Coturnix japonica: one gene and its partner. The protein of the gene in region 1 binds, or shares a complex with, the protein of each later gene. Links are inferred from orthologs where the notes say so. Each region holds a gene or a part of one and is shown in the gene's direction. Other genes may lie near its edges.

What was found. The genes of interacting proteins can lie anywhere in the genome.
Region 2: the proteins of RAF1 (region 1) and RAP1A are in contact, whole or in part, in a crystal structure (PDB 3KUC), measured with the Homo sapiens proteins. The link is inferred for Coturnix japonica from reciprocal best matches to the Homo sapiens genes RAF1 and RAP1A. Residues at the interface, in NP_001341619.1 of Homo sapiens: Thr57, Arg59, Asn64, Lys65, Gln66, Arg67, Thr68, Val69, Val70, Lys84, Lys87, Val88, Arg89, Gly90; in NP_001010935.1 of Homo sapiens: Val21, Gln25, Ile27, Val29, Asp33, Pro34, Ile36, Glu37, Asp38, Ser39, Tyr40, Arg41.

Annotation. Positions count from the first base shown.
Region 1 is NC_029527.1:3,320,156-3,323,802, reverse strand, and holds part of RAF1 (RAF proto-oncogene serine/threonine-protein kinase), read left to right. Parts: intron 1-611; coding exon 612-730; intron 731-1,556; coding exon 1,557-1,688; intron 1,689-2,052; coding exon 2,053-2,187; intron 2,188-3,025; coding exon 3,026-3,166; 3' UTR 3,167-3,647. UniProt on the Homo sapiens protein: Serine/threonine-protein kinase that acts as a regulatory link between the membrane-associated Ras GTPases and the MAPK/ERK cascade, and this critical regulatory link functions as a switch determining cell fate decisions including proliferation, differentiation, apoptosis, survival and oncogenic transformation.
Region 2 is NC_029541.1:3,373,860-3,377,547, forward strand, and holds the start of RAP1A (ras-related protein Rap-1A), read left to right. Parts: upstream 1-795; 5' UTR 796-916; intron 917-3,688. UniProt on the Homo sapiens protein: Counteracts the mitogenic function of Ras, at least partly because it can interact with Ras GAPs and RAF in a competitive manner. Together with ITGB1BP1, regulates KRIT1 localization to microtubules and membranes.

The DNA of each region.
Region 1 (3,647 bases):
GGGGGCTGTGTGTGAAGTAGCTGTTTTAAATGCATGTAACAAAAATAAGTAATTTCTTTTGATGAATATGAAGTTACTTTTAACAAGGTCTTTCGTAAAAAGGCATATGCTTACCTACCAACCTGATGTTATGAAGATGACAATAAGAGAAGCTGCAGTCATTTTCCAAATGTGACTTAGTGAATTAGAATAGTGTTAGTAGTGATGTTATAATGTCTCTATTATCCAAGTAGTGTATTGGAGAAAAGCTTTCTGTTCGATGAGGGATATGTGTGCATATGTGTCCGATGCTGTATCCCTTATGATTTTAATAAATATAAAACATCCTGAGATGACTGGCATAAATAAAGCCATAAATGTTAATTTAAACCTGAGAAGGAACATAGAGTATTAAGCAGACAGACTGTATACCTACATTTTGTGAGCTCTGTACGTATGGATGCCATGAAATTACTTCTCTGAGATACAACTTGTATCCCAAGTTGTATCCAGCAATACTGGATGGCTGACTTGGATTCCTGATAACCCTAACTGGTCACTTTGTAATCATGTCAGAAAATTCAGATGTGTTCATTTAAATTCTCTATAGAATTTCCTTAACAATCCTTTAGATATATTTCTTCATGAAGGCCTCACAGTGAAAATAGGAGACTTTGGTCTAGCAACTGTAAAATCCAGGTGGAGTGGATCGCAGCAGGTGGAGCAACCCACTGGTTCCATTTTGTGGATGGTGAGCAGAGTATTTTACTGCAGTGTAAACAGTTTGCTTTCACTCAGTTAATACATGTTTTGTTGGTTGAATTCAGTATTATTAACAGATCTTTACATCTAAATGACAACCTACGTTGTTAGCACTATGCAGACATTTAGTCCAATTATAGGATAAGTTAAAATTGAAGAATGGAGCACTTAACTGCCCCAAAGTAGACACTGTTCTGCAGTGTTTCCTCCTGAGTTTTTGAGTTCTAACATACATGGCAAAGGCTGACAAGAGCTGTCAGAAGAACTGCAAGGAACTGTTCCAAGGGCAGAGCCTTTCTCCTGTAGCCATCCCACCTTTCCCCAGAAGGGCTCTTCTCAGCTGGAAGGGAAGCAGCTGCCTTGAATCTGCTCAACAGGCTTTGTGGGATGAGTGAGCCCTGTCTTCACTGGCTGTCTTCATCATTGTCTCTTCCTCCTCTGCTCCCTGCTCAGGATCTGGCAGCATCTCTTCATGCAGGCTTGCTGATCTGGCAAGCTTTGAGGCAGCTCAGAACTGCTGCAGATTGATGTCATTTTATGTTGCATTTATATTCCATTTTATGGAAGTTCTCAAGTCATACAGGAAAGTTTCTGAGGGTTCTTTGGAAGTGCTATTGTATGTCTATCTACATATACGCTGTATGTGCACTTGCTCATTTAGTAAGAAAGATGTAGAAAAGCACTGATGGAACCTGAGGTTCCCATCCTTTGTTAAGTAATGATTGACTCCTCTTGGCTTTCCATTTTCCTGTTTGCTTTTCTGTTTCCTAGCTTGTTAATACCACTTTTCGCTTATTGCTTTTCTCCTTGTAAAGGCACCAGAGGTGATACGGATGCAGGACAGTAATCCGTTCAGTTTTCAGTCAGATGTCTACTCCTATGGAATCGTACTGTATGAGCTCATGACAGGAGAGCTGCCCTACTCCCACATAAACAACCGCGACCAGGTAAGAAACAGCCACTTCATGCTGCATGTTGCAGTATTAAATGTTAGGGCAGAGTTAATTCATTATTTAAAGCTTTCTTCTGTAGAGCATGAACTTAAAACTGTTCTTTTCAGACTATAGTAATGTTTGCATCTTGGGAGTATTATAAACCACTGTGTCGCTCTGATTTAATTAGGTTCTACGTTACACAAAAGCAAGGCAGTTGTTTCCGTTAACTGATCTGGACAAATGCACAAGGCTCTGCTGCTGTGCTGGGCTTTGGCACTCACTGATGTTTAGTGACTTTGGGACATCAGAGCTTTGAATGAGTGACACAGCTCCTGTGGTTTGAGTTCTCTGCTACTTACTGGCTGTTCTTCTTTAGATTATTTTCATGGTTGGCCGAGGATATGCTTCCCCAGATCTCAGCAAGTTGTACAAGAACTGCCCCAAAGCAATGAAGAGGCTCGTAGCAGATTGTTTGAAGAAAGTTAGGGAAGAAAGACCCTTGTTTCCACAAGTAAGTGGCTTTTTTCATCATGTAAGTATTTGATAAATAGCCATTACCACACAGAACACCTTAAGTGGACACAGGTCTAGAAACTGGGAGTAGATGCAGGAATTAAGTGTAGCATGCTTCCTGGTGTTGTTTGGTCATAAGTCCACCTTTAATAACCCAGCTCCCTTGAGCGGATCCTAATGCTGATATAGAGGATTCAGGTTCAAAGTACTTTAAAATAACATCCATCCTGACTGAAGCATTGTTGGACACCACGCTGCTCTCAGAGCACTTTGCTGTCAAGACCATTCCTTATTTTTTTCCACAACTTTGTACAAGCAAGCAAAATTCAGGGAGGGGATTTAAATTCTTGTAGCAAATTTTTATCTATTTTTTTTCCCCACAAAGGATACTTGACCTTTTCTGTTAAAATACCTGGAATTGAATTGCAGCACTTTTTAAGATGTTACTGTTACATTTAAGTACAACTGCTGTTATTTGATGGCTTCTTTCTAAATTTGGTTCTAAAGAGACCATTAGGAGGAAGATGCCATTCTTTCCCTGCTGCGCTGTTGCAGAGTACATAGATGCTTGCTTCTTGATTGCCTTATTGATGAACTCTTAACTGAGAAGTACTTGTCTATCCCCTGAAGCCCAGTGAATGTCCTCCCAGCAATGAAACTCTGTGGCAGAGTTGGATTCTTCAAACTGGGACAATCCTATTGTTTTCAGTCTCCACGTAGTACATTGCTCCCTTATGGATACTGGTAAAGCCCTAAGAAATGAATGTTGAAGACTTAGGTGAAAAGAAATGGCTCTTTCTAACATGTCATCTTCTCATTTTATGTCTTTCACTCAGATACTGTCTTCCATTGAACTGCTGCAACATTCTTTACCCAAAATCAACCGGAGTGCTTCCGAACCATCTCTGCACCGCGCATCCCATACAGAGGACATAAATTCTTGCACATTAACATCCACAAGACTGCCTGTTTTTTAGGATTGTGCTCCCCTTCCTTTAATCTCTCCATTGATGGGAAAGGAACAGAAGTTGTGCTTTTAATGCCTCAGTGTACAGGATCAGTGCCAGCAGGATCATCCGCATCCCCATTTAAGAACAAGCTGCTAAGGATGTTTGCAGTCCTTACCCTGCAGGGACACAGCTCCACATTGCCTTTTTCTACAGTTTCTTCTACTGGGATAGTTAACAGACTACAAATCAAGAGGTCTATTACTATTTTTTTAATAGATGCACTTGAGCCTTATTTTTCCCATACACCGAAGAGATGGATGTTTCTTTGGCAGTGTTTCTGGGTTGATTTGAATCTGCTGATAAACTGGTATTTTGTACAGCAGGGATGACCTGCCCTGGCATTTGAGGAAAGCAAGATGATGCATCTGGTGCTCTCTGATTGCCCCATGCCGCTTCACGTCAGGGGAGTTTTGCTGGAAATGGGAAATCTGCAAACAAGACTGAGGGA
Region 2 (3,688 bases), on another chromosome or scaffold:
TACAGCAGAGGACCGGAGTGGGACTTTGAGCCGTGCTGCTGATCGCATGGAGATCACAGAATCATACGGAATGACCCGGGTTGGAAGGGACCTCAAGGATCATGTAGTTCCAACCCCCCTGCCCAGCAGGGCCACCAAACATACACCTTTACTAGATCATGTTGCCCATGGCCCCGTCCATCCTGGCCTTGAACACCTCCAAGGACGGGGCATCCACAACCTCCCTGGGCAGCCTGTTCCAGGGCCTAACCACTCTCCTAGTGAAGAACTTCCCCCTAACATCCAACCTAAATCTTCCCTCTTTTAACTTAAAACCATTTCCCCATGTCCTGCTATTGTCAGCCCTTTCCAAGAGTTTAAGGGAAGAGTAAGTTCCCTTCAGGTATTGAAAGGCTGCAATGAGGTCACCCCGCAACCTTCTCTTCTCCAGGCTGAACAAACCCAACTCCCTCAGCCTGTCCTCATAGGGGAGGTGCTCCAGCCCCCTGATCATCTTCCTGTCCCTCCTCTGGACCCTTAACAAAATCTCCATGTCTTTCTTGTACTGAAGGCTCCACACCTGGACACAGTACAACAGATGGCGCCTCACAAGAGCTGCGTGGGATTATGACATAGAATAGCAGAATTCTTTGGGCCCTGCCCAGCACCGAGGGACACACAGAGCTCAGGGCCGCATCCTGCCTGTCTGATCCACCGCTCACATCCCACCCAGCGCTACTAATGTGGCCCCGATAGTGCAACGTTCGTGGTTGTTATCAGCCCCTACGGGACGTTCCACCTCCCTGAACTCCTCCGGGCCGCCCCTCTGGTCCCCGCCCGCCCCTCTTGGCCCCTCCCCGGGCCGCGGCCGGCGCTGAGGGCGGAGCGGAGCGGAACGGCGCCGCGTACAGCGGCCGAACGCCGAGCGGAGCGGAGGGTGAGCGGGGGAAGGGAGAGAGCGGAGTGGGGTCGGGAGGTGGGCGGCTCCGGGTGTTCAGCTGCACCGGGACGGCGGTGGGGACGGGGACCGGGGTTGGAACGGAGCGAGTTGGGAGCCCGGGCCGCGGGGAGGGCCGAGGCCGAGGCGGTGTCAACAGCGGCGCTTCCCGGCCCGGCCGTCAGCGCTTCCTGCCCGCTCCGCAGCCGGGTTGTGCCGGGGGGAATTCCTGCCTCGCTGTTCCTGTTCCGAACCGAGCTCCAAGGGCCCCTCTACGGCTTTATAACAGCGTTCTATCAGCTGTTGTTTCATCTGCAAGCGTTTGTCATCGTGTCTGTTGGTTCTGTACTTGGTTGGACCTGATTGGGTTCGCTCTGTGCCGCTCTAATGCCCCCCCCTGTGTTAGTGGGGTGCTGGAAGTAGGGATGTGTTTCATTTTGGGGTTACTGAGGCCATAAGTGTGAATGGAGGCACAGCATTGAGTCCATGGAGCTGTCAGCGTTGGGGCAGTTCTTGTAACTCACATCAGTGACGTTGGCTGCTGTGTCCGAATGGTGCTCTGACATCACACCATATTGCTATGGCCGCTTCCCTACGCCAGAGTGCTCACATCGTGCTGCTATGGGAAAGATTAATGTTAAAACATGCAAATATTGAAGGGTCCATTCATCCAAAGAAACACCTTTTGATGCCCAAAGGCCCAGCTGTGTGTTCCCATGGAGGTGATGATGCTGGTATAGGGATGGCACTCCCTGACATCAATAGGTTCTGTATGTGGAGTGTTCACCCCATTAACCCTCGTGTTCCATGGCCCCAGGGACGAGCTGAGCCCTGGGAAGGCCGCAGGGTAAGGAGCTTTGTGAAGATTTTGAGCTTTGCCAACCAGGGACTGAACTGCTCCGTGTCGTGCTCTGACACACTAATGCTTTTATTTGGAGTTTCCAAACCAGCTTTTAACCGGGATGGTTTGTATTTGAAACCATAAACTGAGCTTCGTTTTGTGTCCATCCCATCTGCACTTAGTCTGAGCGTGGCTGCATGGCAGTTCTGCATGATCAGCTCGGATGGAGGCATGAGTTTAAAACTGGGTCAGGTTTGGGTTGTGTTTCAGCCCTGATCAGGTTTTGGGGTTTTTTTTTGTCTCCTTTATTTTGAATGGTGAAAACGTTGGTGGCTGTGGGCTCAGAGCAGCCGGGATCACTGTGTGCTGAGCTCTGCAGCACTTATTGATTCCCCTCTTGCACAGATTAAAGGCTGCCGTGTTTGCTCTGTAGCAGCATTAACGATTCAGCTGTGATTGTGTGTGTGCGTTCACAATGTCAGTAAGTTACTCTCAGCTCACTGTTATTCTCTTCTTCTTTCTTTAGTGGAAACGTTTCTTGTTTTTATGGGACCAGGGGTTGTTTAGCAGGGCTGTAATGAAAGCAACTTCTTACAAACGTCATCAAGTTCAGTCTCTTTTGCTTCATGAAAACAGGAAGGAACTTGGAAGGTTGGATTCATTTCAGTGCGTGCAAGTGATAAATGTAATTGCTTAGTCCAATAGGAGAGAGACCTTTTCTATGAGTCAGGAGCCTGGTCGGTACCATCTGTGTCTCCATCACTCAATGGGGAAAGAAAGTCCCCATCTATTAAATGAAGAGCTGCAGAAGGAAAGCCTTGGCCGTGCTTCCTAAAGGCCACAGTGCAATGCAGATGATGCTCAGAGCAGCACAGCAGGCAGTGCACCTGATTGCAGGTGAGACCGAAAGCATCAGTGTTATCTCTGCCTGCACTGCAATAGCCACAGTGCTCCACCACAACACTGTGCTGCTTCTCAATGCAGAGCAGCAGAATTGCCCAATGAGGCTGTGGATGCCCCATCCTTAGAGGCTTTCAAGGCTGGATGTGGCTCTGGGCAGCCTGGTTGGTGACCCTGCACATAGCAGGGGGTTGGAACTGGATGAACACTGTGGGCCTTTTCAACCCAGGCCATTCTATGATCCTATGAGAGATGAGTGTGGATAGGAGTGCAGGCGGCGTTTTGATCTCTGCTCTGCTGCAGGCAGCCCAGCAGGTCCTGGGTGTTAGGAAATACCGGCTGTACCTGAACAGGCACTGCCTCGCAGCTGTGGTGGCCTCACCTGAGCCTGGCTGAGGGTGCAAGTGGAACTCTTTGGATTGAGAAACGCCAACCAAAGCAGAGCTCGGTGTGTTTTGCTGTTTGTTTGTTTGCCTCTGATGAGCAAAGCCCTTTGTATGGGGGGAGCTCTGAGCCTGCGTGGGGTTGGTGATGTTACTGGGCACGCTTAGGGGCTGCTGGTGGGGCCTGGCTTTCCTCCCCCCTTTCCTTTTGTTTAGCTGAAAATATGGGCGCCAGGCAGTGGCTGTGTGCTGGGCAGGTGCTCTGAGTCACCACTAGCTGTTATTTATTTTCAATATTGATAAGATGGAAAAGGGTTTAAGTCCATCTAGGCAATGAAATGAGAGGTCTGAGTGCATCTGCAGCCGTAGCTATATTGTGGCTGAAGCAGATTTGAGGCTCTCTTGGAGTGTTTGGACCGATGGCTTCAATCCCAGGGGTGAGGGGAACCGAACATCACCCCAAACACATCCATTGGAAATAGACCCTTAACGTGGAGCATTCCAGGCATGTGGGAAGAGCAGTCGGGCTGGATGTATTGGTTGCACTGCCTTTTTATGTTGCTTTTCATGTCATATCCTTTCCTCCAATGCAAATAAACTTGAAGTTGCAGGGAGGGGCTGCTGGGAAGTGGAAAAAACTTTCATTAC